4 linked regions of the Schizosaccharomyces pombe genome follow. The main gene of each other region encodes a partner of the protein of the gene in region 4 in a complex. Each region holds a gene or a part of one and is shown on either strand. Other genes may lie near its edges.

What was found.
Region 1: rrp4 (region 4) and csl4 share a complex: the UniProt entries of both Schizosaccharomyces pombe proteins name them as parts of the RNA exosome complex.
Region 2: rrp4 (region 4) and rrp41 share a complex: the UniProt entries of both Schizosaccharomyces pombe proteins name them as parts of the RNA exosome complex.
Region 3: rrp4 (region 4) and rrp40 share a complex: the UniProt entries of both Schizosaccharomyces pombe proteins name them as parts of the RNA exosome complex.

What each region holds. Positions count from the first base shown.
Region 1 is NC_003421.2:2,275,482-2,283,796, forward strand, and holds csl4 (exosome subunit Csl4), read left to right. Parts: upstream 1-3,786; 5' UTR 3,787-3,851; coding exon 3,852-4,397; 3' UTR 4,398-4,805; downstream 4,806-8,315. Other genes in the region: U6 snRNP-associated protein Lsm8, read left to right, coding at 2,421-2,445, 2,500-2,668, 2,732-2,822; opt3 (OPT oligopeptide transporter family protein), read left to right, coding at 6,131-6,431, 6,546-8,315. UniProt on the Schizosaccharomyces pombe protein: Non-catalytic component of the RNA exosome complex which has 3'->5' exoribonuclease activity and participates in a multitude of cellular RNA processing and degradation events.
Region 2 is NC_003424.3:3,159,178-3,167,723, forward strand, and holds rrp41 (exosome 3'-5' phosphorolytic exoribonuclease Rrp41), read left to right. Parts: upstream 1-3,949; 5' UTR 3,950-4,043; coding exon 4,044-4,046; exon of another isoform or gene 4,047-4,094; coding exon 4,095-4,134; exon of another isoform or gene 4,135-4,245; coding exon 4,246-4,931; 3' UTR 4,932-5,177; downstream 5,178-8,546. Other genes in the region: pdc201 (pyruvate decarboxylase), read left to right, coding at 1,053-2,765; ppt2 (holo-[acyl-carrier-protein] synthase new8), read right to left, coding at 3,142-3,266, 3,346-3,434, 3,493-3,677; tif211 (translation initiation factor eIF2 alpha subunit), read left to right, coding at 7,279-7,348, 7,411-7,581, 7,688-8,367. UniProt on the Schizosaccharomyces pombe protein: Non-catalytic component of the RNA exosome complex which has 3'->5' exoribonuclease activity and participates in a multitude of cellular RNA processing and degradation events.
Region 3 is NC_003424.3:1,176,141-1,182,703, forward strand, and holds rrp40 (exosome subunit Rrp40), read right to left. Parts: upstream 3,801-6,563; 5' UTR 3,792-3,800; coding exon 3,069-3,791; 3' UTR 2,716-3,068; downstream 1-2,715. Other genes in the region: dihydroxyacetone kinase Dak1, read left to right, coding at 925-2,667; mug84 (pig-P phosphatidylinositol N-acetylglucosaminyltransferase subunit), read left to right, coding at 4,114-4,701; SPOM_SPAC22A12.14C (BSD domain-containing protein), read right to left, coding at 5,089-5,982, 6,027-6,077, 6,133-6,231. UniProt on the Schizosaccharomyces pombe protein: Non-catalytic component of the RNA exosome complex which has 3'->5' exoribonuclease activity and participates in a multitude of cellular RNA processing and degradation events.
Region 4 is NC_003424.3:557,632-566,454, reverse strand, and holds rrp4 (exosome subunit Rrp4), read left to right. Parts: upstream 1-4,293; 5' UTR 4,294-4,487; coding exon 4,488-5,477; 3' UTR 5,478-5,631; downstream 5,632-8,823. Other genes in the region: phospholipase D Pld1, read left to right, coding at 1-1,287; rsm24 (mitochondrial 37S ribosomal protein mS35), read right to left, coding at 1,421-1,902, 1,991-2,285; tryptophan-tRNA ligase Wrs1, read left to right, coding at 5,951-7,138; RNA-binding protein Nrd1, read right to left, coding at 8,235-8,823. UniProt on the Schizosaccharomyces pombe protein: Non-catalytic component of the RNA exosome complex which has 3'->5' exoribonuclease activity and participates in a multitude of cellular RNA processing and degradation events.

The sequences.
Region 1 (8,315 bases), on a different chromosome or scaffold from region 4:
GTAATGTGCTAGCTCAATAAGGAAGACCAAGAGATGGAAAGAGGTAATTAATTATCTTCTATTAGACTTATTAATTTATAAAAATATGTACATCATTTAATAAGTATGCAAAATAACCATCATTCATAATTGGAGTATTAGTAAAAGTTTGTCTTAAATGAGAGCGCTAAAAAAAATTAAAAATAAAAATGCTTTGATAATTTAGTCTTTAATTTTCTATACTTTATAAGCCATTGATTAATTTCTTAATTATCTTTGGATTTTAAATTCGTAATAATAAGATCTCAAATTCAAATACTTCATAAACCCATTTACAAATATGTTAGATTAATAACAAATTCAATTTTAAGCTAACAATAGAGCTTATGAATCATAATATTTATTCCGATAACCCTGAAGACACAATTTCGAGTTTTATGAAGTGTCTGAGAAGCCAGTTGATTGCTATTCTGTTCATACAGAAAATTTCGTGATTCATAGCAAGAGGAAAGAAAAAATCTCAAATTTTTTTTATTTTTTTTTAATTAATATTATTACATATTTAGTTGATCGATCAAGAAATCGTTGAGCGAAAGTATTAAATTCATATATTCTAAAACAATACACTGTGGTTTAATTTTATAAATTTAAAATAACTGATCGTTACGAGATCTATTAGAATTTTAAGTCTTCTTATTATTGATATCTACACCTTTTTTGTTTTGAAAATATATAAATCTTATTTTTTTTCTTTCATTCTAATCAACATCCTTTTTTTTTTTTTGAAATTGTTTTAAATCAAATGTGTATTTCATTATATTGTGACTGATAAAAATATGTTTGCGAAAGCAACATTTGAACAGATTGAGTAAATAGGCTATGATATAGTAAATCTTTAAATTTAATTTAATTCTCAATACCAAATAAATATTTCTTCAAAAAGGGTTACAAATAAATTAGCTATACTGTGGAGTATATGATATATCGATCCCCCTGATGTAACAAATATAACATATAACAATATGTGTTTAAGTATGAGTATATTCAGAATACATTGGAAATAACGAAAATCCAAATGAAACATTAAGCATAAATTTCTGATTTCTAACTTGCCCTTTTTATTTTATTTTATTCATCATAGTTGTCTACTATTCCAACACAAGTTATGATGTTAATGAGTTGCTAGAATGTTTATTTGCGAGACAGTAGTATAAATATCCTTTCGTAGCTGCTGTACGTTATAACGAACAACTTAACTTTCTTAAATTTTTCTCAATAAATACTTAAATTTACATTGAAGAATATAGCTGAAAATAAATAAACTCACGATGGCAATTTCTCAGCCTCTTTAAGTAGATTTGCTTTTATAGTCACTATGATCTACTGGTTTAGTTCTGTGTGCTGCTTCGTCAAAGTTGTAAGTCTTCGCTTAATTATTAGCGAAACTTTATTTTATCAGATAGGGATAATATCCAAGAAAATTGTACTACCAAGCTGCTTTGAGAAGATAATACAAGTACTGAGATGAGTGTAAAAAAGTGCCAAGGAAAACGAGCTGCGCCCTTTAACTTCATCTGTCTATATTCTAAATGCCACCTTTAAAACAAAAATCTAACTTGTCTTATAATGTAAAAACCCTAAAGCTTCGCACTTATGGTGACACATTTAGTACAAATTCTTTCTATTCCATACGTTCTTTGCTGAATAAAGAGCGAAGACCGTCCCCTTTATATTCGAGCCGTCATTAATTTTTCATTCAAAAACTAAGATAGTAAGGCACATCGATAACAATCTAAAGTTGTGAAAAAATTCTTATAAAACGGAATTCTTAAATACTTATTTCTTCCAAATTATTTAAGCAAACCTTCAAAAGAAGAATTATCCTTCAATGATTTAAACTCAACAACTATCAAATGAAGTAATTCAAGAATATAACTGTAGTCAAATATATACATCTATATTCCCCACGTCCATAAGATTTGTATATTTGTTTACAACGGGTATTTTTAGTTAGAAGAACGGTTGCTTGTAATGATGAGGAAGGATTCGTGAGCCGGATATAGCTGGAATAATGTTCAATACCTTTTCCTTTAATAGATCTATTTTACAAAATAAATTTCGTTGATTAATAAAACAAAAGATCATTTAAAAATCGTGCGCTTCACAAATTACTTTAATTTTCTTTTGACACAAGATTGTGTTCCTTTCCAAACTAAAAATATAATTGGGTTACTTCTTATATTGATAGCAAAGTTAGCTTCAAAATTTTAAGACAAAAAGGTGTTTTCAATTTGATTAGTTTATTAAAATTCTTGATTTTTTTGTTTTTGCTGTATGTTTTATAAAAAGTATCATGTCACTTGAAATACATGCTGTAAGACTACCTACTTTTGTTTAGCACTACCATACTGTAATACAACTAATACTTAAATCACTTTATCATGAGTCTTGCTGATTTTATGGAACGTAAGTGTCAAATTTTCAATAGAGAATGAAGTGACTAATATAGATGTTCGTTAGAAAGGGTTCAAGTCATTACAAACGATGGTCGCGTTGTGCTAGGTTCCCTGAAGGGATTCGATCACACGACCAATCTTATACTTTCAGACTCATTTGAAAGAATTATTAGCATGGATCAAGACATGGAAACAATTCCTTTAGGCGTTTATTTATTACGTGGAGAAAATGTGTAAGTGGACGCAGAGCCTTGTACTGGCGGTACGTAAATCAATAATCTAATAGTTATTTTTAGAGCAATGGTTGGATTAGTGAATGAGGAATTAGATTCAGAAATAGAATGGACCAAAATTCGAGGTGAAGCAATACCTGACGTTGTGCATTAATACAAAAACCGGACGTTAAACTTCAAATGAGAACAAACGTTTAAGGCTACATAGGATTTGGGTTAATGATTTTTTTGTTATATTTCCTCTTTGTGCGGGCGAATCCTTTGCAAATTTTGTTAAGCTTTCCACGATATATTCATACCTTGCAGCATGTCTTTTATCAGGAAGCTATTAGCTCGTAGAAAGAAGTGAAAATTCTTTCTTTATTTTTTTAAAAAAATATGACTGAGGTTGTAGATTAATTCTGATGACAAAGAGTTGACACTTGAACGAAAATACTTAAAAAAATGGTTTAAAATACCGAGTTCGAGGACATCGGTTCTTTCAGAATTTAAAAAATTCTTGGTTTCTTGTTAAATTTGTGGATCACAAACTCATTTTTCTTCTTATTTTGTGGGTTTCATCTTTCTTAAATGATTCTTGGGAACGTTAACATACCTTTGTTTCCTTAATTTGATTTATGCACTTTGATTTTGAAATTTGTGGTCAACTTGTTTAAAGACTTTATATTTATCATTGATTTTTGTTATTATATGGAAAAAAACATCACAATTTATATCATTTACTGTGCATAACATTCTTCATTTTTGCTGTCACGCTTAATGTTTACACTGGAAAATTTCTCTACCTTGAGAAATATTTCAGCATCATGGTCCAATTTACAAAGATCATTTGAGTTAAACAAAAAAAATGATTTATTATATTTGCTGCTCATATTTTTTTTTTAGTGATTTTTTATTTTGGCATCGTTTTGTGAACTTACTTTCCAAGCTTTGGGATTATCAAGAAAAAATTTTTGTTGAAAGAAGAGCAGAAAAACTGTTTGATAATTAAATGCCTTTGCAATTTCATTTTCTCAATTTAGCAAAATAAACTGAAATTTCTGCAGCAGTGACTTTAGGTTACATTGTAACCTACAGTTTACAACGACCTTTGTGCTTACAGCAACTTTTTTTCAATTAATTTTTTACAGCCATACAAAACGGACTTGATTCCTTTATTTTTAGTTTATTAAAGCCGTTAAATATGAATTTGGTTCTCCCTGGACAGGTGGTCGCGAGAGGGGCTCCTAACGGTGAAGGAACGGTAAAGAGAGGAGATTATATTATTTCCACACGAACTGGCATCTTTGATCCAGAGAAAAATTCTGTAACGTACCCAAGAAAAGTTGAAGAGACAGCCGTTTTACCTAATGTCGGATCTATTGTTTTAGCTCGCGTCAGCAGGATCAATGCTCGTCAAGCAACTGTAAACATCTCAGTCGTTGACGATGTCTGCACCAAAGATGAATTTCAAGGGGTAATACATGTGCAGGATATTAGAGCTACTGAGAAAAATAAAGTCAAAGTGCAAAATTCATTCCGACCGGGTGATATTGTCAGAGCACTTGTAATTTCACTTGGAGACGGCTCTTCGTACTTTTTAACAACAGCTCGAAATGATCTTGGTGTGATTTTTGCTCAGTCTAGTGAAACAGGAGAGCAAATGTTTCCGGTGGATTATCAGCATATGCAAACAAAATCAGGATATACGGAAATGCGTAAATGTGCTAAACCTATATTAGACGAATAAAATGAGGGGATAAAATTGCTTTGTTTTGATATAACCTGATAGTTTTTTTTCCCTCTCGGTTCGTTCTTTCCTAACAAAAAAAAAATTCTGAAATTGTTAGAGATTTTATGATACGAATATACGGAACACGGATAAAAATAATATTGAATATAGAAATATTGGAAGTTCATTAGAATGATGATTGAGGTGACTTGCTGTCGAAACCGATATCATTTTCAATTAGAAGTCAAATGTATAGTTTTATAAGATATAGAGAACCTTTGTAATTCAACTGAACGGACAGGAGCTCTGAAGTTTCTTAAAGTTATTTACTTAATGGAACTGAATTGGTCGGTTGTTTATAAACTCTAATTCATTAACAAAAACATGAATAAGGAGTTTCTAGCAATAATATGTGTTATGTTTACAACTTTCTAAGAAGGTTACTGTATTAAGTTATTTTGTGTAATTTAATATCGAGGATTGCACCTTTCATTGGAGGCTGTGATATCCTGAAATAACATTTATGATCACAGATTTAAGGATGAAGTATTTAATGACATGAAAATTAGTATTCGTACACCTCTCAGTAACTTTTCAAAACTACTTTCAGTTTTTACATTAAGGGATTGGATGTACTTTTTATACACAGTTTTATAAAATACTAGGTTGTCTCTAAACATCAAGTATCATCTCAATCTTTACTTTCGGCCATTAGACTGATATATTTTATATCAATTAATTAGTAGACAACTGTTTCCAGATTCTCATATAAGCACGAGAGCTTCTATTCTACCCGTCTTTTCCGTATATAGCTGTCATGACTCATTAAGCTACTCCAGCGTGAGACTATCAAATTTAATCTCTTCATCCCTAATATTTGTTTGTAAATACTTATAATTGCAAAATATTCCATTACCATGACATCAAATAGAGGATTCTAAATCCAATTCGCAGGTACACTGACTTTAATGGATTCTGGGCTAGTTCCATAAAAAGGGATTGAAAGGTTTTATTTTCCATATGATAATAGGTTTCAATAATCAGTTCGACAAAAACATCTTTCATTAGCATACTTATTACCTCAAATAGTCGATGTTTAACTATATCAGATGACTATCTTATCAGATTATTCTTCAATCTTAAGCTTAGGATTTCTATAAAAGTTGGTTACAAATACATCTCTTTATGACGAAAATTTACCGAAAAAAGTACATCTGGAGTCGCTCATTCCATCTTAGATAATTTGTTCGAGAAGCTTATAATTCCGGATCGTTTTGTCAGTAACTGTATGATGGGCTGAGATTGTCTTCTAATACGCTGTCTTCACTGGAATGCAAGAGCGCAATGGTTTTATATCTACTAGCTTTGTGATTCGGCGAGAGTTAAGATGTTGTTCCGAAATTAGCCATATGGTGAGTAAACCGTGCTGCAACTAATCTTAACAGATCAATTCTCACTATTTGAATTTGGGAAGGCTTCTAGGCAGCAACTTCCAGACCATCGTAAGTCGGCTTGTCGCTGTGCAGAGTATAAACGTGATGAAAAAGATGTGGAGATAATTCGTAACTTTGAACTCATGCACAGGTTTTTATTATTCGTTGTTGGTATCCTTTAGAAACCCTTGCGATTACTCCAGCTTGCACATCAATCGTATAAATATAGTCTTATTTCTTTCTCCAAAGCTGCTGATCTGATAAAGATTACTTTGATCAAATTGGTCCTGGGTTAAGTAACAATTTCATTTTTGAAGGATGAAAACTCCAAAATTTATCACTTACGTTACTCGTGGTTTCAAAGGACTTGAATCGAAAAGCGTTGAAAACAACAAAGACCATATCGTAGAAAACTCGAGCCCTATCGCCTCGAAATTTCATGAATTCGATGAGCAAAAGAAATCTTTTGAAATCATAAATTATGCTGGTCACGAAAAGTTTGTTGACGACATTACTGAAAGAGAATCCTCAGTACCAGGAAATGCTGTTTACGATATTACCGTCAGGGACATTGATGCAATTGTACCTGTAACGGACGATGTTGATATACCCGCATCGAGTAAGTCAAAGCTAATCCTACTTTTTCCTTTTTTTTTTTTTTTTAGAAGCTGTCATTCAGGATTTCCATTACTATCCCTTCAACCTTGATATTAACTTCTCACTTTCTTTGTAGCTTTCAGGATGTGGATACTGGCATTTGGTCTTGCTACCGTTATTGCAGGCGTTGATGCTTTCTTTTTGATGCGTTATCCTTCGGTCTCCATTGCAGCTATCGTTGCTCTTCTTGTAGCATATCCATTGGGTCAGCTCTGGTATTATATTATTCCACAGTGGGAAATAAAACTCCCAAGGGGTATACGTGTTTCACTTAATCCAGGGAGATTCAACCGAAAGGAACATGCCTGCCTATATATATTCGTCAACATTTGTGTCTCCGCAAAACTAGTTAACACTTTAATTATCGAACAAATAAAGTTTTTTGGAGTTAACATCGGAATTGGTAGAGCCATTTTATTCAATTTATGTAGTTATCTTTCGTCATTCGGATGGTCAGGTCTCGCTTTGCCAATTCTAGTGTATCCGCCAACATTGATTTGGCCTTCTGTTTTGAGTAGCTGCGCACTTTTCAAGATATTTCACGACAATGATAATACTAAGGCCTGCAACTGGACAATCTCTCGGCTTCGTTACTTTTTCATAGTTTTTGTTGCTTCTTTCATATGGTATTGGTTTCCTGATCTGATCTTTCCTGCTTTAAGCTCCTTGGGTGCTTGGATCAGTTGGTGTAAGCCTTCCAGTGCAGTTCTATCTCAAATATTTGGGGTAAAGACTGGACTGGGTCTTTTCCCTCTTACGCTCGACTGGGCCCAAATTTCCAGTTTAAGTAATCCTTTGATCACTCCCTGGTGGGCTACATGTTGTATTTTTACATCCTTTGTGTTTTGGATTTGGATTGTACTTCCAGGGCTTTACTATCAAAATTACTGGCAAGTTGCGCATTTCCCCATTATGACTAACAGTATTTACACTGTTTCGGGGAAAAGTTATGATGCTCAAAAAGTGGTTGATTCGAAATGGGAGTTGGTAACTCAAAAGTATCAAGAATATTCTCCGGTTATGCTTCCTATTGCTTTCATCATAAACATAGCCTTGTCATTAGGCGCATTTTCTTCAATGATGATATCTTTTTTCCTTCGTTTTCCTACCGATGTCATTCAGCCAATCTGTCACGTTTTTAAATATTCAGACATTCACACTAAACTTTTAAAGAAATATAAGCGTGTTCATTGGGGATTTTATTTGGCATCAATAATAGTTTCCTTAGGATTAGGCTTCGCTTTTACAGAAGGATGGCATGATATTCAGATTAGATCTTATGGATTTGTGGTCTCCATGGTTATTGGAGCAGCTTTGTACATACCGCTTTCATTAATCGAGTCTCGTTCCAGCTTCACTATAAGTATGCAGGCTTTTTTCGAAATAGTGGCGGCTTTCTGGTTTAATGGACAACCTATGGCATTGCTCTACTTCTACTCATTTGGATTTGGGACATTACAGCACGCTATGCATATGACTCAAAGCGCCAAAATTGGCCATTATATGAAAGTCCCCCCACGGTTAGTCGCTGCTCTTTTGTTTACAAGTGGAATTTGGTCATCTCTGGTTAATTCCGCAGTAACTGGTTGGATCATGTATCACGTTAGAGACGTGTGTACTTCAAATGCGGAAAATAACATGACTTGCCGATCTCCAAAAACTCAATTCAATAGTCATCTTATCTGGGGGTTAGTTGGGAATCACATTTTTTCATCAGATGGTCGCTATTCATTTGTAATGTGGTTTTTCCTTGTAGGTGCTGTCGTTTCAGTTGTTGTTTATTTGCTTCAGATAAGTTTTCCTAAAAGCTCTTGGAAACATGTCAATCCAGCTCTCCTCCTAGGCG
Region 2 (8,546 bases), 2.6 Mb from region 4:
TCGCTGCGACCACACACACACACACACACACACACACGCACATTCATATTATTACAACACATTCATTTACTCACAATATCCATATACTCACAATACACACACACAAACACTTCCATTCCTTCACACAAACATTACAATACTACGTTGTTTACTCTCCATCCCTCCTCCCCTCCCGTAATAAACAAACAGCGACTGACCGCTTGCCCATCCATCCAAGCCCATCGCCACGTAAGCGACATTCGCAATCCCTTCCATCTTAATTGTCATTTACTTACGTATCAGGGAAGCGCATGACAACAAAGTCTAAAGGCTTTGTATGCACTCTTCTTACCCGAGAGTGGAGAGGTTCGCACATTGAATTTAGTAATTGGTCGGATACTTGTCATTGTTGTCCGAATATGTTTTTGTAGCCTGAACTTTAATGCAAGCTAATTTAATCAAAGTGCAATGGTATTCTTGCATGGAAATAGGAAGCTGATCAAGTAAGCCGAAGTTTTGCCTCTGTGATTTTACTTGACCAAATCGGTTGTGCGTATTGATACACCGATCAAAGATGAATCATGCTGCAAAGTCAATGCTGTAGGCCTTGTCACACAGATTATAAAAGGAGAGGCGGTTGCTGTCATTTCATTCGTCTTTAAAACAATTTTTCACGTTTCATACATATTTTTATTATTCTTTTTAGTTAAGAAAGAAACAAACTTAAAACCTCTCTCTCATCTATATCAAAGGAATTAATTCATCTTACTGTGCTCTGTATATTTCCTTTGTTTATCACATACTATACTATACTATACTATACTATACTATACTATACTTTTTTTTTTTTTTTTTTAATAAACCCAAATTTGTTTGTTTGACTTGCTTTTGAGATCCTTGTATCATTCCTCCTCTTTCTTTGTTGAGCTTTTTCATTTCCTTTGACCAATCTTTTCTCTTCTTTTCACCTCTATTCTCTTCTCTTCTCCTTCTCTTTTTCATTCTATCCTTTTGCTCTTCTTACTTGCTTGCTTGTCTTGTTTAAGTAGCGTGTTTTGTTGTACTCCTGTATCATGTCTTCCGAAAAAGTCCTCGTTGGTGAATACCTTTTCACCCGTTTGCTGCAATTGGGCATCAAATCCATCCTCGGTGTACCCGGCGACTTTAACTTGGCTTTGCTCGATTTGATTGAGAAAGTGGGCGACGAAACGTTTCGCTGGGTCGGTAATGAAAACGAGCTAAACGGTGCTTATGCCGCTGATGCTTATGCTCGTGTTAAGGGCATTTCTGCCATCGTCACCACTTTTGGCGTCGGTGAACTTTCCGCACTCAACGGTTTCGCCGGCGCATACTCTGAACGTATTCCTGTCGTTCACATTGTCGGTGTTCCCAACACCAAGGCTCAAGCCACTCGTCCCCTTCTTCATCACACACTGGGAAATGGTGACTTTAAAGTCTTCCAGCGTATGTCCTCCGAGTTGTCTGCCGATGTCGCCTTCCTGGATAGCGGTGACTCTGCCGGTCGTCTCATCGACAACCTGTTGGAAACGTGCGTTCGCACTTCAAGACCCGTTTATCTGGCCGTTCCTTCGGACGCCGGCTACTTCTACACGGATGCTTCTCCCTTGAAGACTCCATTGGTTTTCCCTGTTCCCGAAAACAACAAGGAGATTGAGCACGAGGTGGTTTCTGAGATTCTCGAATTGATCGAAAAATCCAAGAACCCTTCTATCCTCGTTGACGCTTGTGTTTCCCGCTTCCACATTCAACAGGAAACCCAAGACTTTATTGATGCGACCCATTTCCCCACTTACGTTACTCCCATGGGTAAGACTGCGATCAATGAGTCATCCCCCTACTTTGATGGCGTCTACATTGGCTCCTTGACCGAGCCTTCCATCAAAGAACGTGCCGAATCTACTGACTTGCTTCTCATCATCGGTGGTCTTCGCTCCGATTTCAACTCGGGCACCTTTACTTATGCTACCCCTGCATCTCAAACCATCGAATTTCATTCCGACTACACCAAAATTCGTTCTGGCGTTTACGAGGGCATTTCGATGAAACATTTGTTGCCCAAGCTCACCGCTGCCATTGACAAAAAGTCCGTTCAGGCAAAGGCCCGTCCTGTTCACTTTGAGCCACCAAAGGCTGTTGCTGCTGAGGGTTACGCCGAAGGAACCATTACCCACAAATGGTTCTGGCCTACGTTTGCCTCTTTTCTTCGTGAGTCCGATGTAGTGACTACCGAGACAGGTACCTCCAACTTTGGTATTTTGGATTGCATTTTCCCCAAAGGCTGCCAAAATCTCTCACAGGTATTATGGGGCTCAATTGGTTGGTCGGTTGGCGCTATGTTTGGTGCTACGTTGGGCATCAAGGATTCCGATGCTCCTCACCGTCGTTCCATATTGATTGTTGGTGACGGTTCCCTTCATTTAACTGTTCAGGAAATTTCTGCTACCATCCGTAACGGTCTCACCCCTATCATATTTGTAATTAACAATAAGGGATATACAATTGAACGTCTCATTCACGGTCTTCACGCTGTTTACAACGACATCAACACTGAATGGGACTATCAAAACCTTCTTAAAGGCTATGGTGCCAAAAATTCTCGCTCCTATAACATTCATTCAGAAAAGGAGCTCCTCGATCTCTTTAAAGATGAGGAATTTGGAAAAGCTGATGTAATTCAGCTCGTTGAAGTTCATATGCCTGTCTTGGATGCTCCTCGTGTTTTGATTGAGCAAGCCAAACTTACCGCTTCTCTTAACAAGCAGTAAAAAATATGGCTATGGCTATATTATTATGATATGTTTTTGATTTTGAAATTTACAATATTTCTCAAATGATGCTTTTGTTAGGTTAGTTAATTTGCAACAGTCGTTTTTTTTTTCTACGTCAATCCATATTTCTTTCATAAAATGAATGAATATATTGAAGTTTATGCAGCGGTTGTTTTTTTGTTGGTAATTAGGATTCATTGAATGATTTATTTTTTTTTTCTTTTTGCATCCCCTTACTCCAAGGTAGACTTGTCCAGATAATTCCCTGTTAGTATAAACTCAATAACATAAAAAAAGGTCATTGAGACGACTGGTAATGAGTAGCAGCAATAGAATCACTAAATAATATAGTACCTTCAATTTGGTCTCTCGTCTATGTCTTTGGCATAGATGGTAGATACAAAGCATTCGCTACAACCAAATCTTCCTCATGGCTTACAGATACCATTACGGGAGAAAGCGGAAATCGGGGATCATGAATAACAACGGAAGGGTAGCCTATATTAATCATAACAAAGTCAGTAACTTTACAAACCTTTTATTTTTAAACATTGAACATGGAAAACAAATGACACACCTGTGGGAGTTCGAACATACTCCATCATAGACATGTAAACTCGAAAATTCGGTTGTAAAGCTTTGAAAACAGCTTCTTTGACGCACCATCTACATAGGAAAATAACCGTTAAAACTATGAAACGATCATAAATATAGACAAGCATACCTAACAGCAAGCCATTTAGCCTGTTCGCTTAAACGAGGCAGCGAGGAATTGCTTTTAATCAGGTTGTACTTTTTAATTTCATTTTCACACAGACATTTTTTTAAAAAGTTCTTTTCCCATTCAGGAGAGCGTTGAATTAATCTTGAGATTCTTGAAATTTTTAAAATGTCAATCCCTAAACCCATTTCGATTTTTGATTCTTTATAACATGAACAGGAAATATTAATGGTAATGCAAGAAGAAAAAAAGAAATCTATGGCTTCAATAATTTTGAACGCTTAATTAATAATATATTGTAAACTAAATTTCCGACACACTAAACGAGATATAAAAATCTTTATCCTTAAATAAAATGAAATAAATTTATCTAATTCATTATCGATTAGTGCCCCCAAAGACATCAAATCCAATTCGTTTCGTAGCGAATGCAGTAGCAGGAGTTTTTACTGTAACAAGTGTACTCTCTACTCACTCCCAGTTACAAAAGTGTTCAAAGGGAACCAAAAATTATATATTTGTAATCCTTTCAATCACGAAAAAAAAAATTTCATATGGTAAGAGATAGAATTTATCTCTAGATAATACGAGTACTAACCATATAGTCACACTTTGAGATTTTATCCCTTGAAGGTCTTCGAAATGGTAAGCCAATTCATTTATGGGAAATGAAAAAGAAACTTAAAATTTACATTCAAACATCTATGATTCTTATAAAATGTATTAATCTTTCTGTGTGCTAATATTTGTTGCAAGATGGTCGACGGTGGGATGAGATGAGAAACTTTCAGTGTCGTATTGGAATCGAGCCTTCGGAGAATGGGTCGGCGTTTATTGAATTGGGTAACACAAAGGTCTTGTGTATAGTCGATGGACCCTCGGAGCCTGTAATAAAGTCCAAAGCTAGAGCTGACAGAACATTTGTGAATGTCGAAATAAACATTGCTTCTTTCAGCACAATAGATGTGAAAAAGAGATTTAAATCGGATAGGAGAATTCAATTGCAATGTTTAGCTTTACAAAATACATTTGAGGAGATAATTCAAACAGAATTATATCCCAGAAGTCAAATTTCTGTCTACTTGCATGTTTTACAAGATGATGGTGCAGTAATGGCATCTTGTATCAACGCTACTACTCTTGCCTTAATAGATGCTGGTATACCAGTTAAAGATTTCGTTTGCTGTAGTACAGCTGGGATTGTTGAGTCTGATATGCTGTTGGATTTAAACTCACTAGAGGAGTCAGCTCTTTCATGGTTGACGGTTGCTGTTTTGGGGAACATAAAAAAGGTCGTATATATGCAGCTGGAAACTAGTATGCATTTGGATTATTTGGAGTCAGTAATGAATATGGCGATCGCTGGATCAGAACATATTTATAACACGATGCAAAGTGCGGTTCGACAAAGCGCTAAACCGGCACTTGCAAGTCTCAGCTAATGACAAAATTTTGGGGAAAAAAACTATTAAAAATAAATGAACGGGAAGATTAATTTTTATAATTATACATTGATAAGTCATCACAATTGCAACTTTACTTAGCTCTACGATATTCTGACAAAACGTATACAGCTTTACTCATTTTATTCCTAGTACAACGTTTTTGTCCTTATCCTTGGTATTTCTGTATAAGTATCAAAAAAATCACCTCGAATATCGTATATAATCTTTTAATGATTGCGTCCCTTTTTTGTCTAAAGGGGCTTATATTACAAAAAATATGGATTGTACTGTAGATATTATGCATCAAAAAAGGCTCATTAATTAGTTGAAGATTTTATGAATAAATTCGGTTATTCAGATCTCACTTATTATAATAAATTGATTATTTTTTGGGGGAGGCTTTCATAAACAACCGGGAATTTTTCATTCAACAGATATTACAGATTGATGTGGATTAAAAAGAAAATATATATATATATATATATTTTTTTAGATTTTTAGATATAAGAAACCTAAGGTTTATTATGAGAATCGTAAAACTGTTTTTCGAGATAAATGTTAAATTTGTTAATGTTAAAATATGAAAAACACAGTATTTTTATTTTATATATTTCTATAATGGTGCAAACTAACAGTAGCTCTTGTAGCTCAGTGGTAGAGCGCCTGTCTCGTAAACAGGAGGTCCAGTGTTCGAGTCACTGCCGGAGCAGTTTTTATATTTTTCGATCACAGATCGGCCTTTCTAATAAGCATTGAAAGCTACAAAATGAGTATACTAAGATACTTATTAATGCATATTCTTGTAAATAGGGTTTCTCACAATTCATCGAATATACATACTCAAATTCTGCCGTTACTAGTTGATTGCTGATTTCAAGGACATCTTGATTAATAAAATGGAAGAATCGCTGTAGGATCAACAGTTAATATTACCTTCGTTTTAAAAATGAGGAATCTCGTGCCGTTCAACCAAAGTAAAAATGAAACTTCGTCAAACTGCATGACTAAGTTTCCCCTTTCTGTTTTTGATGCTTTCATAGCACTGTCAAGAATACCGTTGCGCAAATATCTGGCAATTATATACATACCAGTTCATCGCGGCCTGATTTAAGTTTTGTACGTTTTATTGTTTTCAATTGTTTTTACTAGACAGCATACTGAAATATGCCTTCAACAGTTTTTAATTTTATCAGTTTGATTGAATACATCAGTTTCCCTAAATGCTTTCTATCTTTGCCTTCAAAAACTTATTGCTTATACATGTTATAAATATACTATTTAAACGTCTACGGCCATACCTAGGCGAAAACACCAGTTCCCGTCCGATCACTGCAGTTAAGCGTCTGAGGGCCTCGTTAGTACTATGGTTGGAGACAACATGGGAATCCGGGGTGCTGTAGGCTCATCTTTTTTTGTTGATGATTTGCTTCTTTTTATATTAACATATTTGGAAAATACTTGTAATTAATTTAAAGCGGCTTTTCTCATTCTAGGTACTAGATGAGTACTTTCGTTACAGCGCAATTCTTGTATTGACCAGGTACGAATCGGAATGGAGGACATCCCACAACAGACAAAAAATGAAATACAATTCACAAATTAGTACCACATCTTGTTCATTTTCATGAACAAGTGTTAAAGAACTTTTATATTTATATAAAAGACATATTCAACTGGTTGTCTTTACTAAGTTTAGATGCATTCTTGATTCAATGTATCTACGAGAAGCGCATTGAAAAAAAAAAGTTTGTTTGTAATAGTTTATATTCAAAGACTGTTGAAAACACATTTCCTCAACTATTCTTGAGTTTGGCATTGATAACCTTTTGAATTTCATTAATACGAGTTCTCACTTTTTTTTGTAATCCAAAAAACGGTGATGGATGGTTTGTAAGGCAATGGATTAACAACTTTTCAATAAAATAATTCTTTACTCTAGTCAAAGGAACAAGTGGAATCAATTAGACAGAGTCTTCTATTCGTAAACTTTCCAATTGTAATTTTCGTTTGAGGGAAAAGAAAGTTTAAGTATATTATCTGTAATTCTAAACGATGTAGTAAACTAGTAGTTTATTAAACACTTTAGTTTATTAAATACTTTACTGCTAGTTTATTCAGCGTTCGGCTGGTAAGCCAGTTATCACCGATCGTTATGTGCTTTTAGATACTAATAAATCTTCTTTAAGGAAACTTTTTAAATATAAAGAATAATTATTGATAAACAGTTAAGTTAAAATGACCAATGTCTGGGTTCTGAAAAGAAGCAAAATTGGCCCCTAGAGTTTAGAAGTGGGTAGTCCACACAAATTTTTACTCAGAACCAAACACTCAACACTTTGCAAAAATGTCGACGACAAGCTGCAGAATGTACGAGAATCGCTTCCCGGAAGTGGATGAACTCGTTGTTGTCAACGGTATGTAAAAAATGCACATGTTGTCTGTCTAAAGAAACGGTAATGGCTAATATTTCCAATAGTTCGTCAAATCCAGGAGATGGGCGCTTATGTAAAATTGTTGGAATACGATAATATTGAAGGAATGGTTTTGCTCTCTGAGCTTTCCAGACGTCGTATTCGTTCAGTACAAAAGCATATTCGCGTTGGTCGTAATGAAGTCGTCGTGGTCTTACGTGTCGACAAGGAAAAAGGTAAGAATTTATTAGTAGTTTTTTTTTTTTTTTTTTTTAAAAAAAAGAAAAACAAAAGGGGAAAAAAGGTTTATAAGTTGTTAGGAATGTACTAACCAGGATTAAGGATACATCGATCTTTCAAAGCGCCGTGTTAGCCCTGAGGATGTTGTAAAGTGCGAAGAACGCTTCAACAAATCTAAGGCTGTTCATTCCATTATGCGCCATATTGCTGAGAAGCATAATGTTCCTTTGGAGACCATGTATACCACAATTGGATGGCCATTATACCGCAAATATGGACATGCTTATGACGCCTTTAAGCTTGCTATTAGTAACCCAGATCATGTCTTTGAGGGTTTAGAACCTCCCAAATCGGGTGTTATTAATGATTTGTTGGCTCAAATCTCTCGTCGTCTGACGCCTCAGCCCATTAAAATTCGTGCTGACGTTGAAGTCACTTGCTTTGGCTACGAAGGTATTAACGCTATCAAGGCCGCTTTGAAGGCTGCTGAAGATGTTCATACCGAGGAGGTTCCTATCAAAGTTAAACTTGTTGCTCCTCCACTTTACGTCCTTTTGACAAACGCATTAGATAAGTCATTGGGTCTCAAAAAGCTAGAAGAGGCAATTGGTGCAATCGAAAAATCCATTACAGCATCCAATGGTACCTGTACTGTTAAAATGAAACCCAAGGCGGTTAGTGAAACTGACGAATTGGAGCTTGCCGATTTGATGAAAAAATTTGAAAAGGAAAATGCTGAAATCTCTGGTGATGAAGAGGATGACCAAAGCGGTTCTGAGTAAATGGATTAGACACTAGCTAATATACGCTTTTTCATTGTGAATTTTTGGCACTTTAGTGTTCCATTATAATCTGGGGTTCTTTTTATTTTGTACTATACACTTTATCAAATTTATCTAGTGATATCTATGGTTAAAAAATTTCCTCTTCTTTTTTCCGAATGCGTAAGAGTTCTTTTATA
Region 3 (6,563 bases), 620 kb from region 4:
ACTTGCTTTTCACCGTGGAATACCGGGGCTGCACTAACTAAGATGACTGGTTCCACATGTGCAGACCGGAGCACTTTTCGACAACCTTCTTTTAATTAAGGTTCTTATGGCAGTTCGTAACGATTTAACAATTTCAATAAATAGCCATCGTCCTGTCCCATTGCTTCTTTGGGCATTGGTAGAGTTTGCCCTTTTAAGGCAATCTTTTGCTACATAAAGGTGACTCAAGTTTACGCTGCGATTTTACTACTTTTCTAGCATATGATCTACAAAAGGTCAGCGAAATTTTTCTTTGACTAGGAAAATGGATTGAGGTCATCTTCGGCAAGGCAAGCTGATATTTAATTTAATTGTTCATATCGGCAACATTTCGTAATTAGTTGAAGGGTATGAAAAACGGTTCTACGGTTATCTAGATGTGTTTATTCACTGTTTCAGCATAATATCACTTCCGTTACGTGCGGGGCACTTCGTCATGCAAATTGGTGGTTATATAGTATATATAGAGAGACAAGGCCAGCATTATTAAATCGTCTTCAAGCTCCCTTTTTCCGCTACACTCATAACTTTTACGAAATAGCGAAACGAAAACGAGACATAACGTAACGAAACGAAACGTTTACTAGTATATTCTTGGTTTATTTATTTTGTATTTAAACCAGTTGAAGCATAGTAGCGTATAAAGTGTTAATTTTTTCGCATTGAAGGGAATTTTGATATTAATATTTTGAGATTTTAGAGACACATAGATTTATTTCTTTAATCCTTTACTCACACTTGCACTTCCCCACCACCTAAAACAAGTCATTTTATATTCTTAGATCATAAATTTCGGGAATATTTGATTTAACTATCCAACTTATATTTAATTTTATTTTAAGGCTTTATTCTCTTTTTTTTACCTTTTTCTTATTATTCTAAAATATGGATAAGCACTTTATCAACGATCCTGAAGTCCTCGTCCTTGATGGCCTTAAATCCTTGGCCGACATGAACAAAACTTTAACTGTTCATGAAGAGGGAAAATTCATCTATTTCCATGACTACAACAAAAAGAATGTCAGTGTCATTTCCGGCGGTGGTGCTGGTCATGAACCCACTCATTCTTCGTTCGTGGGCAAGGGTATGCTTACTGCCGCCGTCTCAGGCTCCATTTTTGCTTCTCCTTCGTCAAAGCAAATTTATACCGGTATTAAGCAAGTCGAATCTGAGGCTGGCACCTTGGTAATTTGCAAAAACTACACCGGTGACATCCTTCACTTTGGTATGGCCTTGGAGAAGCAAAGAACGGCTGGTAAGAAGGCTGAACTTATTGCCGTTGCAGATGACGTATCAGTAGGTCGTAAGAAGAGCGGTAAGGTCGGACGTCGTGGTTTGTCTGGTACTGTTCTTGTTCACAAAATCGCTGGTGCAGCTGCCGCCAGAGGGTTACCTTTGGAAGCCGTTACGACCATTGCTAAGGCTGCTATTGACAATTTGGTTAGTATCGGTGCTTCACTCGCTCACGTTCACGTCCCTGGTCATGAGCCAATTGCAAAAGAAGATGAAATGAAACATGATGAAATGGAACTTGGAATGGGTATTCACAATGAACCTGGATGCAAGCGTATTTCCCCTATTCCCTCTATTGATGACCTAATCGCTCAGATGCTTAAGCAAATGTTGGATCAATCCGACAAGGACCGTGCCTATGTAAAGATTGAGGGTGACGATGAAGTAGTCTTACTTATGAATAACCTTGGTGGTCTTTCCATGCTTGAATTCAGTGCCATTAGCCACAAGGTGAAGGAAGCATTGGCTAAAGAATACAAAATCAACCCCGTTCGCATCTTTGCCGGTCCATTTACCACCAGTTTGAATGGCTTGGGTTTCGGTATCACTTTGCTCCGTACCACTGACCGCGTCAAAGTCGAGGGCGAAGAATACTCTTTGGTTGATTTGATTGACCAACCTGTTGAAGCTATCGGATGGCCTTTGTGTCAACCCTCTGACTTGAAGTCCAAAAACAAGATTGGCAATGTCAGCATCGAGGAGGGTCAGAAGGATGTCAAGTCTCCCGTTACTGTCGATAAGGAGAAGGTTCGTCAGGCGATTGTCAATTCGATGGAGAATCTCATCAAAGCAGAGCCTAAAATTACAAAGTTCGATACGATGGCTGGTGATGGTGACTGTGGTACTACTTTGAAGCGTGGTGCTGAAGGTGTTTTGAAGTTTGTTAAATCCGACAAATTCTCTGACGATCCTATTCGTATTGTTCGTGATATCGCAGATGTTATTGAAGACAATATGGATGGTACATCTGGTGCTTTGTACGCCATTTTCTTCCATGGCTTTGCGAAGGGCATGAAAGACACCTTGGAGAAGAGCAAGGACATTTCATCTAAGACATGGGCTGCTGGTTTGAAGGTTGCTCTTGATACTCTTTTCAAGTATACTCCCGCTCGTCCTGGTGACAGCACTATGTGTGATGCTCTTGTTCCATTTGTCGAAACATTTGTTAAAACTAATGATCTTAATGCTGCCGTAGAGGAGGCTCGTAAAGGTGCTGATGCTACTGCAGATATGCAAGCCAAACTTGGACGTGCTGTCTACGTTGGTGATGATGTTAAAGTTCCCGATGCCGGCGCTCTTGGTGTCGTTGCAATTGTCGAAGGATTTACGAAATAATTGGATACGAAATTTTTTTGGGATTGTAGAATTGGTATGATCTTAAAAACTATTTACGAGCACGAATAACAATTATATTTTCATTATGCATGCATTAATTATTGCTTACTTATCTTTGCATCTGTATTTGTATATTCATGCATTATAATAAGTAATTTTTTAATTAAAACAGTTGAGAAAGGACGAGTGTAGATATTGTATGAACACGCTGCTGTAATAAATAAAAGAACGACAGAAATTGTATGGGAATATTAGACACAGGCATTAAAGAAGAAACAATACACTTTATTCAGAAATGGTCCCTCCTAGATAAGGGCAAACCATTTTTGAATTAAACCCAATTGGACAAGAATTGTTAAATAGACTGTGCATATTATTCAAATTTTTTTTTCTGAATCTCGTTAGAGCTTTTTAATAAGGTCTTTACAGTACTTTATTTGCTCTTCATCAGACATGAATTCGCAATTTCTGATAGCTGTACAAATGAGGACCGTAGTAGAAAGATTTTCAGAATTGACCCAAACGCGACCATTCATTCCAACAGCAATTTCGAAAGGAATGTAGCTTCCTAGGGTCTGTAAAAGTGTATTTTTAGGAAGGATCAACTTCCTACAATGAGATAAAGATAAACCTGTTATCATATAACCGTTTTTAAGTTCACCATATCCTGCAGCTTTCCCTGTGGTAGCATCGAAACATTCTAACTCCGGTTCCATATCACGATCAGCGAGTGATACTCGAGCATACACAAGGCTTCCAACATTTAAATTGGGCCTACTTTTACGAGTCACATTTTCAAAAGCCAATGCATTCAATTGAGCAATATGAGCTGACCCAATATCTACTCGATAACCTTCCGCAAATCTAGAAATAATTTGCCCAATAACTTGATCATTTGTAGCAGGAATATATCTTTTTGTCCGTGAGTCTATCAACATAGCATTTTTTCCAGTTTGATGCAACCTCCCAGCTTTTGAGACCACTATTTCTTCTTCACGGTCTTTCTTTTGAAAGACTAAACCAGGACCTAAACGAATTGATCCATCCTGACTAATTATGGAGTCTGGTATCCGCTCACCAGGAAAGTAATAAGATAACAGACCTTTTTCTTCAACTTCAGCCATTTGGTTAACAGAAGAAAATTAGCTATTTGGGGTTTGATTTTTCGCGAGTTATACACTATAATTCGAGGATTAATGTCTTGGACGGTAAGTGTGTCTAAACTAATACTGTAAATCTCGTTAATTTTATAAATCACATTAGCCCAGACTGTGAAAAATAACGCAAACGTACATTGTGCTATAATGCTGTTTACGAGGATTTTCTGTATGTATGTCGTTAATAGGGATATCGAATTTAATCACATCGTAAGCAGACGTAGTTGTATTTGTATCATCTCAGTACGCGCTCTCATCTAACAAATGCACATAGTAAACACATGTTTGGATGACACTTACTCATCATTCCACGTTCATAAAAGGGATAGAGGGTTCTGCTGAAGGAGAGATAGAAGATGTAAGGCAAACTACTGTTTTTGATCCTCCGTTTTACGGACATCCGATGTTGGTTCCACCGTCGCCATCTTTGACTACGATGTTTCGAACGAGGTCTACAACGCCTGATGAAGAGGGAACTGCCATTGCAGAAATTGATCAACAAGATTGGGATATAATGGTAAAAGTTCCTACTTATGAGTATTACGGGTTCGTGATGTATTTGGTGTCAATGTTGGGGTTCGGCGTGTATATTGTTTGGGCTCTGACGCCTGCGCCTGTTCTCAAATTTTTTGAGATTCATTATTATCTATCTCGTTGGTGGGCTCTAGCTATTCCTACTTGGTTATTTGTTCTTGTTATTTACATTCACGTTGTGCTAAACGCTTACAATACCGAAGTATTGACTAAGCCATTTAGCAGCTTAGAATGTATCGTTGATCAATACGCACTCGTTGGTGAAGAAGATGGTGCTGCTCATGGTCGAGTTGTTGATCTTCGCCTATGTGATGTGAATAAACAACAACTGGAAGAAACTTAAAAAAGACTAAAAGCAGCTAAGTGATATCAGAATTCATTTTCTCCTTAAAAATCTTCATTATTTAAGGGACTTATTATCTATTGATGTCGTCGACCCATACAGATTTACTTTTAAATCCTGGTTTCCTTAAGTTTCACAATCAAAAAGTATATGTAAATGTATAATATTATAAGAAGGTTGATTAATGCTCTAGTCCTACTACTCCAACCTGCATACTCAAGATTAGATGTTTTTTATATTCCGCTAATAATATACCTAAGAGTTGTTCGTAAACAAAATGTTTTCAGACAAATAATTAGCTATACGAACAAAACACACCAAAACAAGTAAATGAATAGAAGAGAAGTAAAAACAGTATATCTCTTTTTAATAGTTTGACGAGAGTCGTTATTCCCAGTCATCATCGTCTTCATCATCGTCATCAACTTTTCTATTTGCTTCATCCTTCACCTCAAGAGAACTTTGAGAAGCTTCTATATTACTGGAAGATGATACTTTATTTTCCTCTTCTTCTTTAACTTCTCCATCAACCTCTCCATCATGGCTTGCGGGTTGAGTTTCAATTTGTAAGCCTTTTGAAACTGCTGACTCCAAATCATTGACGGTTTCATCTATCACTTCAGCTGCTGAATTATTCTCAGTAGTATCTTCTTCACTTGATTGCTTTTTTTCATCATTAACCTGTTCATTGTCACTTTCTTCTTCATCACTTCTTTCATCTCCCCAACTAAAAATTTCTTCTTCATCGTTTCCTGATTGAATTGCCTTTATCGGCTGTACAACCTCTTTATGCCAAAAAAATCGTTTCCAAAAATCATCATAAGAAACTTCAGAAGGTACTAAAGATTCCATCTGTTTCCTTAAATCAGGATATTCTTCCAAAAGTAAAGAGATCTCTTCAGTTTTCCCATCAATGGAAATTTCTTTTTCCCAGCTTTCAAACGTGATCCCATGAGAGGGTTCAGAGATAATTTGGGTAAAAGTATTTTCGTTTTGAACAAGTTCCAACAACTGTCTCTCGTGGCGATTTAAGAAAACAGACGAAGAGGCTTCGTGTGTAGGAGTCGATACATCGTCTTCTTTGGGTGATATCTGCAATGCTTGATCCAAAAAACCATTCACTGTAGATCCGAAGCCACTCCAGAAACTTCCTGCTGTTTCTTCTACTTTTCGCAAGTTTTCCATAGCAGAATTAACAGGTATATTTTCTTCAAGCTGTGATTTTAATTGCTGCATTCCACTTGAGGCTTTTCCCTTTGTATCATCAAGAAAGTTTTCACTCTTTGAACGGTTAGTAACAATGCCATTATTCGCAATCAACACACCTTTTCTTTCATTGAGTTCCAAAACAAACCAAACTTTCCATTCGTCAGATTCTGTATAAAATGTCAGTAAATTCCGCGCCGTAAATCATCATAAAGGATAAATTACATTTAGAGCCGAACCCATTTCTTCTTTCAGTTTTTCGTATCCCTCTTCATCATCTTCTTCTGTAGTGGTTGTAGGTGCCATATAATCGTACAAATCCATTTTGAATAGTTTAAAAGAAAACTTATGTACTTAGTTGTTAGAATAAGCTCACATGTGTTTGGTAGCAAACAAGCTATATATGTTGTACTTGGCAGCAAGTGAAGATATTGTATAGCCTACCGAATAGTGACACGATTATGCTCGTATTCTGACTATGGACACTTATACTAACTTAGTATACTTCCAATAATACTTTTTAATGAAAAAGGCATTACACAATCCACTACAGCTTATTTTCGTCCAAAAAACAAATTCTAAGTTTTTGAAGTAAAGCAATTTTAAAATATACACAACACCATAAAATTTCACCACTTTGCACTTCGACTTAATCA
Region 4 (8,823 bases):
ATGATCTATGTTCATGCTAAAATTCTTATTGCAGACGATCGAGTTGCGGTCATTGGTTCCGCAAACATTAATGAACGTTCTTTGCTTGGTAACCGCGATTCTGAAATTGCTGCGGTAATTAGAGATACTCTAACCATTGACTCCAAGATGGACGGTAAGCCCTATAAAGTTGGAAAATTTGCACACACTCTTCGGAAACGACTTATGAGGGAGCACTTAGGTTTAGAGACCGATGTGCTTGAACAACGAGAATACAACATGGATGGCTTGGATCGCGATACAGAGTGGAAACGTGTAGAAGTCTGGACTCCTGATGAAGGCAATGCCATTAATGGTTCTGCTTACACTGCTGAAGAGTTGAAAATGAAATATCGTTCTCAGAGTCAATTTACCACTACTCCAGACATCTTACGAAAAGCTGAAAAGAGTATGAAGAAACTAGATCAACGTGTCAGTTTAATTCCTTCTTCGATTGAATTCAATATTAAAACTCAAAAGGACAAGGTCGAGTTTGAAAAGAACTACGAGAAGTCTAAAAAAGGGCCTGATGTTATAGCCAACGCCCTAGTAGGCGGCATCCCCTTATCACTGAAAACAAAGGAGGACTCATTATATGAACTTTCCAAGTTCTCTCAATGTGGGGAGGATCAACGTCCAATGGTACTTAAAGACCCTGATCATCTAGTGCCTGAACCCAGTCGTCCACACTGTGGAAATGGACTTGTGTTTTATGATGATATACCATTGCTTGAGGTGAATCCTATTAGTGGAGAAACAATTCCTAAATTTGACGCTTCAAGCTTTGAGGACCCCGTCTGCGATGAATTTTTTGAAGACATATGGTCTAAAGTGGCTTCAAACAATACTACTATTTATCGGCACATATTTCGATGTGTACCGGATGACGAGATGCTAACGTGGGAATCATATAATGAGTGGAAAAAATATGGAAAACGCTTTAAAGAAGAGCAAGCCCGCTGGCGTCAGGAGGAGTTGTCAAATCTACACGAAACTCATGAAAAGTCAGAGAATGATCCAAAAAATCCAAAGGCTGGTTCCCAAGGTAGTGGTAACACGAGTGCAAGTGAAGATTCGAAGACAGAGAAACCAAAAACCCGTACTAATAATGGTTTACAAGTTCCTGACAAACGTGTAGTTTACGACTTACTACGTGGCATTCGGGGACAGTTGGTAGAACTTCCATTAAAATGGATGTCTACCGAATCAAACGCAAGAAATTGGCTCAGTAGTATTGACAAAATCCCTCCGTTAGAAATTTATGATTAGAGAAACAGTACCTTTTATACTACAGTTTTATTTCATCTTAATATAGTAATGAGAAGGATTAATTCCTTCAATATTAGCTTACATTATAGACTCGTTAATTTTAATAGTAACTTAAACAAACTTTCCTTTCATATTATTCATCTGTAGTTGCTATCGATTCTCGTTCAAGTACTGTATTATGTGATTGCTTGCCAATCGTTGTTTTCTTTTTAGAAGTGAGTGTAGTTGCGTCTGCGAGCCATTCCTGTGGCATCCGTTTATCACACTTCTTGTATTTCCAATGGCCAGTATTCAATGGGACATGTGAAAATTTTTCAGCATTTCTCTTCGATTCTTCAATGAGCGAAGTTAATATCTTTATAAGATGATATTTATTTTGTAGTGCAGAAGAATACTTGTCGGAAGATATTCTGACTAAATCCTCCTCCGGATTATATCTTGGTCCAACCAATAATCGTAATACATGTCGTTGTTTCTCCTCTAGCAAAGGAATATTCGTAACTTTAAATGTAACAACGACCTTCGGATTCATTTTCTCAAACGAAGACATTTGGACATCAGATTCAAACCTAAAGATCTGGCTATCAGCAGGCTTTTTAAAAGACTGTGTGTAAGCTATAATTGTCAGAGAAAATGGAACATTAAGCATATTAAAGTGATTGTGAAATAGAATTCCTAAGGTAAAACTACCCAGTAAACTTACGCGTAAGTCCAGGAAGCTCATAAGCAGCTTTCCTATACAATTCACGTATGACCTCGTGCTCTTGTATTTTCTGCCATGATAGATTATTGGAATGGACGTTATCATCAATTGTTTTCAATTCCTTCTCGTCATGAGGCTCGATTCCAAAAGGCGCTGACACATAAGCACTTCGCTTAAATCTTGTAAAATAGAAAACAGAGAAAGCTCTACTAGTAGCACAAAAGCTTGATTTGGAAAGTTGCCCGAGGAATATGGCATCTGCTTTCAATAAAGATAAAAGGGGATTAAAAGCCATTTTATAACCACCCAAAACACTAAATATATGTAATATTTGTATTATAAAAAAAAATAAACCACATTTAACGAATGCGCAGTAGTGTATGATACCGGATTTTATATTTTCTTTGAAACGAAAAGAGTGGCCGTTATAAATGGAAATCTGAATCTAACAAAAACTTTTTTTCTAAAATTTAACAATCCAAATGCTCAAAACAATTAAATAAGCTACAAAAAGGTACTTGAAGGGGATAGTGAAGAATGTATAAACATTGTTGTCCTTGACTTGACTTCGTTGTATATAATTATAACACACTAAATCTTAGTAGTTAGAACCAGTAAAAACCACATAATAGACTGGAATGAAGGTTAGTAACGTAAAATAGCATCGATTCTACTCAATTGCATTTATAACATCTATTGAATAAAAACACCTAATAATACTTTCAAGCTTTTTTTTTTCTTAGGAATTTAATAGCACTTGCTTCCCATCCTTTTTTGGCATTCGCTGTTTAAAAAGTGTGTTAGTTATCCTTATATTTTGATTTTCGTAAGCAAGACTACACTACGTTACGCTGCGTATCACTATATGTCATCTGTTAGGATAGATTTAAGATTCGTTTACTAATAATTGCTGATAACTATTCTTTTGAGTACTTGTTTGTGTTTGATCATGTTTACTCCAAAAGATTATAAACAGAGTACATCTGAACAGAAACAGGTTCGTTTATATGTTAATTAATGGCAGGTAACAACGTAACCCATGTATAAATACTTACAACAAATTGCTACCCACATCACACCTATATATAATATGATATTACCGATCACAATGAAAACTCACAGAAGTCAAACAAGATACTACAATGCGCAGCTAGATAATATTGCACTTTCATTACTAGCGCTATTTAGTAAATAATTAAAAGAAGTTCGATTCAATTGTAAGTTTCATGAGAAAACAGGAAACTCCATTTAAGAATGATTTAAATATAAGAAAAAGACGCAATGTTTTTAAGAAAATGGGGTAAACAGAGTGATGGCAAGTCATCTGCTCAGCGTCTAGTCATTATTATTCCCTGTATGTGTTAATTCAAGCCTATCAAAGTAAAATAAAAAATTTTTTACGAAATAATCTTTTATTGAACTTGATTTAAAAAATCTGTATTTTTTATTTAACTATATTATTATGAACGTGAAATAGTGCTTAATTGGGTTCTTTAACCGTGATGTTTACAATGTTTGTATTGTATTACTTTTAAGTTAAGTAAAAACTAAATACCTTGACCCACATAACTTGTTCTTTGCAAAAATGTTAAGGAGCTGAGTATTTTAGAGTACTCAACACGAATGGAAGTCAATGCATATAACAATCTGTAGACAGTAATATTAGACTGTTAATGTTTACATGAGTCATTTGTAAAAAAAAAAAAAAAAAAAAAAAAATTATAAAATAATTGAATAAATAACCTATTACAGAAATCTTCAGACAACGATATTTTATTAATTTATTCCATTGCAATATTGCTTTAATACAATTTGGCTTGACATTGTGATGGAATTGACATGGATAATTTAAAATAATTAATTAAAAATTTTGTTGAAATTAATTGACTATTAACAATTCATGAAGTATCGTAAATCTGCCCTGATAAAATAAAATTTAAAAAAGTGTTGAAAGTGTTAATGGCTTTATAATTTGTAAACTTAGCCGTTTATTAAGTTTGAATATTGATAATTATTGAAGAATAAAGCATTATTTCCATTTTTTCTTCGTTGATTCATAGCTTTCATCAGACCTCTTCTGACCAAGGTTGACTAATGTATACAATTTGATTTTAATGACAATTCTTTCTTCTTATTAATAGTTTTTGCATAATTTTTCCCCAGCTTCTTATTTAATCCATCGAATATTTCAAATTTACTAACCCATCATCATTTTACCTTTAGATATTTTACGAGGAGCAACGCGTTACTTTAGCGGTTTAAAATTCTTTAGCTTTATGAATCAGTGTAAATTTCACTTTTGCATAAACACTAGTGTAAAAGCATTACAGGAGACCAGATTTGGTTTAAATTTAGTGGCTATAGCTAATTATCCAACATAACCCGACTAATCTTGATTTGTGGAAAGGGTAGTTATTAGTTTTGTAGTTTCTAAGAATTCTAAGTCGTGGTTTGTCCCAGTATCTTCTTTTGTCGAATTCAAACGAAATACTTAAAAATGGTTACAATTTTAAAACCTGAAGAATTCTATGTTTCTAGTGAAGCTGACATCGTAAACGATGTTTCCATGACTGAAATGGAGGATGAAATAATGGAGGATGAACAGATGGGTCTTGTAGACGGAGAAGACGTTTTAGAGGAATTTGATAAATCGATACATCAAAATTTAGTTACACCCGGACAACTAGTGACTGATGATCCTCAATTTATGCGCGGTCATGGAACGTATTTCGAGGATGGAGGAATATATGCATCTGTTGCGGGATCTGTACAAAGGGTCAATAAATTGATATCCGTGAAACCTCTTCGTTCTAAGTACGTTCCCGAAATTGGTGATTTAATCATTGGGAAAATTGCTGAAGTCCAACCAAAACGCTGGAAAGTGGATATTGGTGCCAAACAGAATGCTGTGCTTATGCTCTCTTCTATTAATCTTCCTGGTGGCATTCAAAGACGAAAACTAGAGACTGATGAGCTTCAGATGCGTAGCTTTTTCCAAGAAGGCGATCTCTTAGTTGCGGAAGTTCAACAGTACTTTTCCGATGGTTCTGTATCAATTCATACACGTTCTTTAAAATATGGAAAACTCAGAAATGGTGTTTTTCTTAAGGTTCCTCCTGCGTTGGTCGTTCGATCAAAATCACATGCTTATGCTCTAGCAGGTGGAGTCGACATTATTCTTAGTGTAAATGGATATGTATGGGTTTCTAAACATAATGAAAATCAACATTCGTCAGTGAGTATTACCAGATTGGAGGAGGAAGCCTCAGAATCCATATATTCTAACGAAAACGATGAGATTGATGGGTATACCAGATTAAATATATCTCGTGTATCCATTTGCATTAAAGGGTTGGCTAGTCGCTCTCTCCCTCTGACTCAAGCCTCAATCACCAATTTTTATGAATCATCTCTTGTTTTCTCAAACCTTCAAGATTTGACTGTTCCTAAAAATATGGATCAGATAGCAATGGAAGCAATGCAGTGACTTTGAAAAGCTTTTCTGTCTCTAAAAAACAACACTTGTGCTGGACATGGGTTTATATATAAAAATAGAATTGTGAGTTTGCAAAAGTTGTTTATGATAGCTTTACTATTGATGGCAGCGGTCCCACTAATCTAATATATCAGTTTATATTTAATCATATTTTTTGTAATACATTTATTCAAATTCTTATTTAAGTTTTCGTATCGGCTTTAATTAGAGACACTACAACTGCGCTAGTTTTTCGAACGCTCTATCTCAACTAATTTAAGCACCCAGAAACAGTTATAATGAATACATTTTTATAAAGGAATCAGCAGTACTAACAGAAATTTTTTAAAGAAATTATGAAGTTACCGAATTTGTTGGCGATAAGTTAGTCATCGCTTTTGTCTGATTTACCACTTCCTCCGCCAAGCAACAAAATTTTCTGCGAACGTAGTGCGCCTTGAACAGTTTCTTTTTGAAGAGGAAAAATGTCTGTTGAGGAACAAATTGTGACGCCCTGGGATGTAAAAGGCTCTATAGTCGATGGTGAAGAGAAAGGAATCGATTATGAGCGCTTAATCGTTCAATTTGGCACTAGGAAAATTACTCCTGAACAACTTGAGCGCTTCGAAAAGCTAACTGGAAAGAAGCCTCATTTATTACTTCGTAGAGGTGCTTTCTTCTCCCATCGTGATTTTGATATGATTTTGGACCGCTATGAGCAGAAGAAACCTTTCTATTTGTATACAGGTAGAGGACCAAGTAGTGACAGCATGCATTTAGGCCATATGATTCCTTTTATGTTTTGCAAGTGGCTTCAGGATGTTTTTCAAGTGCCATTGGTCATCCAGTTAACGGACGATGAGAAGTTCTTGTTTAAGCAAGGTGTTTCCTTAGAGGATTGCCAACGATTTGCTCGTGAGAATGCTAAGGATATTATTGCTGTTGGGTTTGATCCAAAAAAGACTTTTATTTTCATGAACAGTACCTATGTTGGAGGTGCGTTTTATCAAAATGTCGTTCGTATTGCGAAATGCATTACTGCAAACCAATCCAAGGCTTGTTTCGGCTTCACCGATAGTGACTCTATTGGAAAAATACATTTTGCGTCAATTCAAGCCGCTCCTAGCTTCAGCAGCTCCTTTCCTCATATCTTTAATGGCGCCAAAGATATCCCGTGTTTGATTCCTTGTGCAATCGACCAGGATCCCTACTTCCGCTTGACGCGTGATGTTTCTGGTAGGTTGAAATTTAAGAAGCCTGCACTTTTGCATAGTCGCTTTTTCCCAGCTCTCCAAGGACCACAATCAAAAATGAGTGCCAGTAAAGATTCTTCTGCGATTTTCATGACTGATACTCCAAACAAAATTAAAAATAAGATCAACAGGCATGCTTTCTCTGGAGGTGGCGCTACAATCGAAATCCACCGTGAAAAAGGAGGTAACCCAGACGTTGATGTTGCATATCAATATCTTTCTTTTTTCCTAGATGACGACGAGAAGTTGAAACAATTGTACAATACCTATAAGGCTGGTACTCTTTCAACCGGAGAAATGAAAGGAGAGTGTATTAAGCTTTTACAGCAGTTCGTTTCTGACTTTCAAGCAGCACGTTCGAAAGTTGATGAGGCGACCCTTGATATGTTTATGGATGGATCTCGTAAGTTAGAGTGGTAGATGCGTTGTCTTTCTTTCATTTTACAAATAGTGTAAATTAGATACTTGTTTAAGTTGCATTATACAATGAAACTGAATAAACTGTTTTTAGATTGTGCTACAATGTTCAGCTGTTCTAATAAATGAGGAAAACATTTACAGCACCAAACGCACAATATAAATAGAGACTCAAATACTGATGCCTTTTCAAAACTCATTACTACGGTAGAGTTTTGTTATGTTTGCATTCATTAATTACCGAACTTTGTACAATCTCTCAACGACGGTGTAGGATGAGCAAAAGAAGAGATGTATATTTACCTAGACCAAAAATATATACATAAGATCATTAGAACAATTTCGGTTTGGAACTAGTAGACAATAATGGGTTGAAAAACGCATTTAGAACGCGACAAATAAACCATAATTAACAAACTAGCATTTAAATATGACCAGACAATCAAATTAAAGCTATTGTTAAGTATTAATCAACACCGTTGAAGTCTTCAGCAATCACTTTTGATAAAGAAATAACGTTGAAAATCGAAACATAAATATATAAGAATATGTAGAATGAAAAAAAAAATAAAAATAGAAGTCAGAAGTACATTTTAAAACTGTAATTGAAAATGTGGAAAGATTCGTCAATATTGTTTGCAAAAACGAATCAAAAACGAAGGACATCGAGCTTTTGATAGAAATACAAACTCGATAACCTCTAACATAGTAGAAAAAATGCCAAATAAAACAAAAAAAAACTGCTACTTCAACAATGAAGGTTTTATAATGCGTAAAAATGAAACAAAGTAAGAAGAAAAGAGTATGGGCCACGTTGAGTAAGGGGCATAAACGAGAGAAAGTAAAACGAAGGAATGTTGAAACAATAGCAAGTAAGGTCATTTAAACAAAAGAATACTTTTTCTTTTGTAATGCGAATGCAAATGGTTACCCTTAATAATCTAATGTAAAAAAGAAAGTGATTTTGTAAAATAAGCAATAAAAAAGTTCGTCAATAAAAGGTGTTTTATGAGCACAAATTGATATGAACTCAAAGCGCTGGAAAACCTTTATCCATAAAAATATCGAACACGTTTAAGAGCAAAACACTCTACAATATTTAAATATTGGAGTTTGTTGGCATAAACCCGGATATTCCTTGCTGAGGAACAACGAGATCAACAGGCATGCTCATATCAGAAGAGACAGAAAGAACGTCTGACTTGGAATTAGTTCTAGGTGGATTACCACACCTATCTTTACCATAACTAATTCGATAGTTTTCATATCCCTTCTTCTGCTTGATTCGATCAATCGCATTAATCGCACTTGCCAACGACGTAAAGTTAACAAAAGCGCAATTCTTTTCGCGGAAAAAGTTGACGTACTCAATTTCGCCAAATTCCTCAAAATCCTCTTTTAAGCGTTCAATAGTCAAAGAATCATCAGCATTGCCAATATAAATGTTACGACTAGCACCACCAGCAACGGCTAAAGCGATATTTGAGGGAAGAGGGCCGCTATGCTTACCCCAACCTATCTTTAAACGACGGTTGCGAATGACCAAACCATGAATGTTGGACATTTCAAAGAATCGAAAAGCAGAAACAGGGTCAACAAAAGTTACGAAACAAATGTGTTTTTCCTGAAGATAACGAATATTGTGTAACAATCCTCCACGAACAGCGTTACATATCTCTTCAATAGTA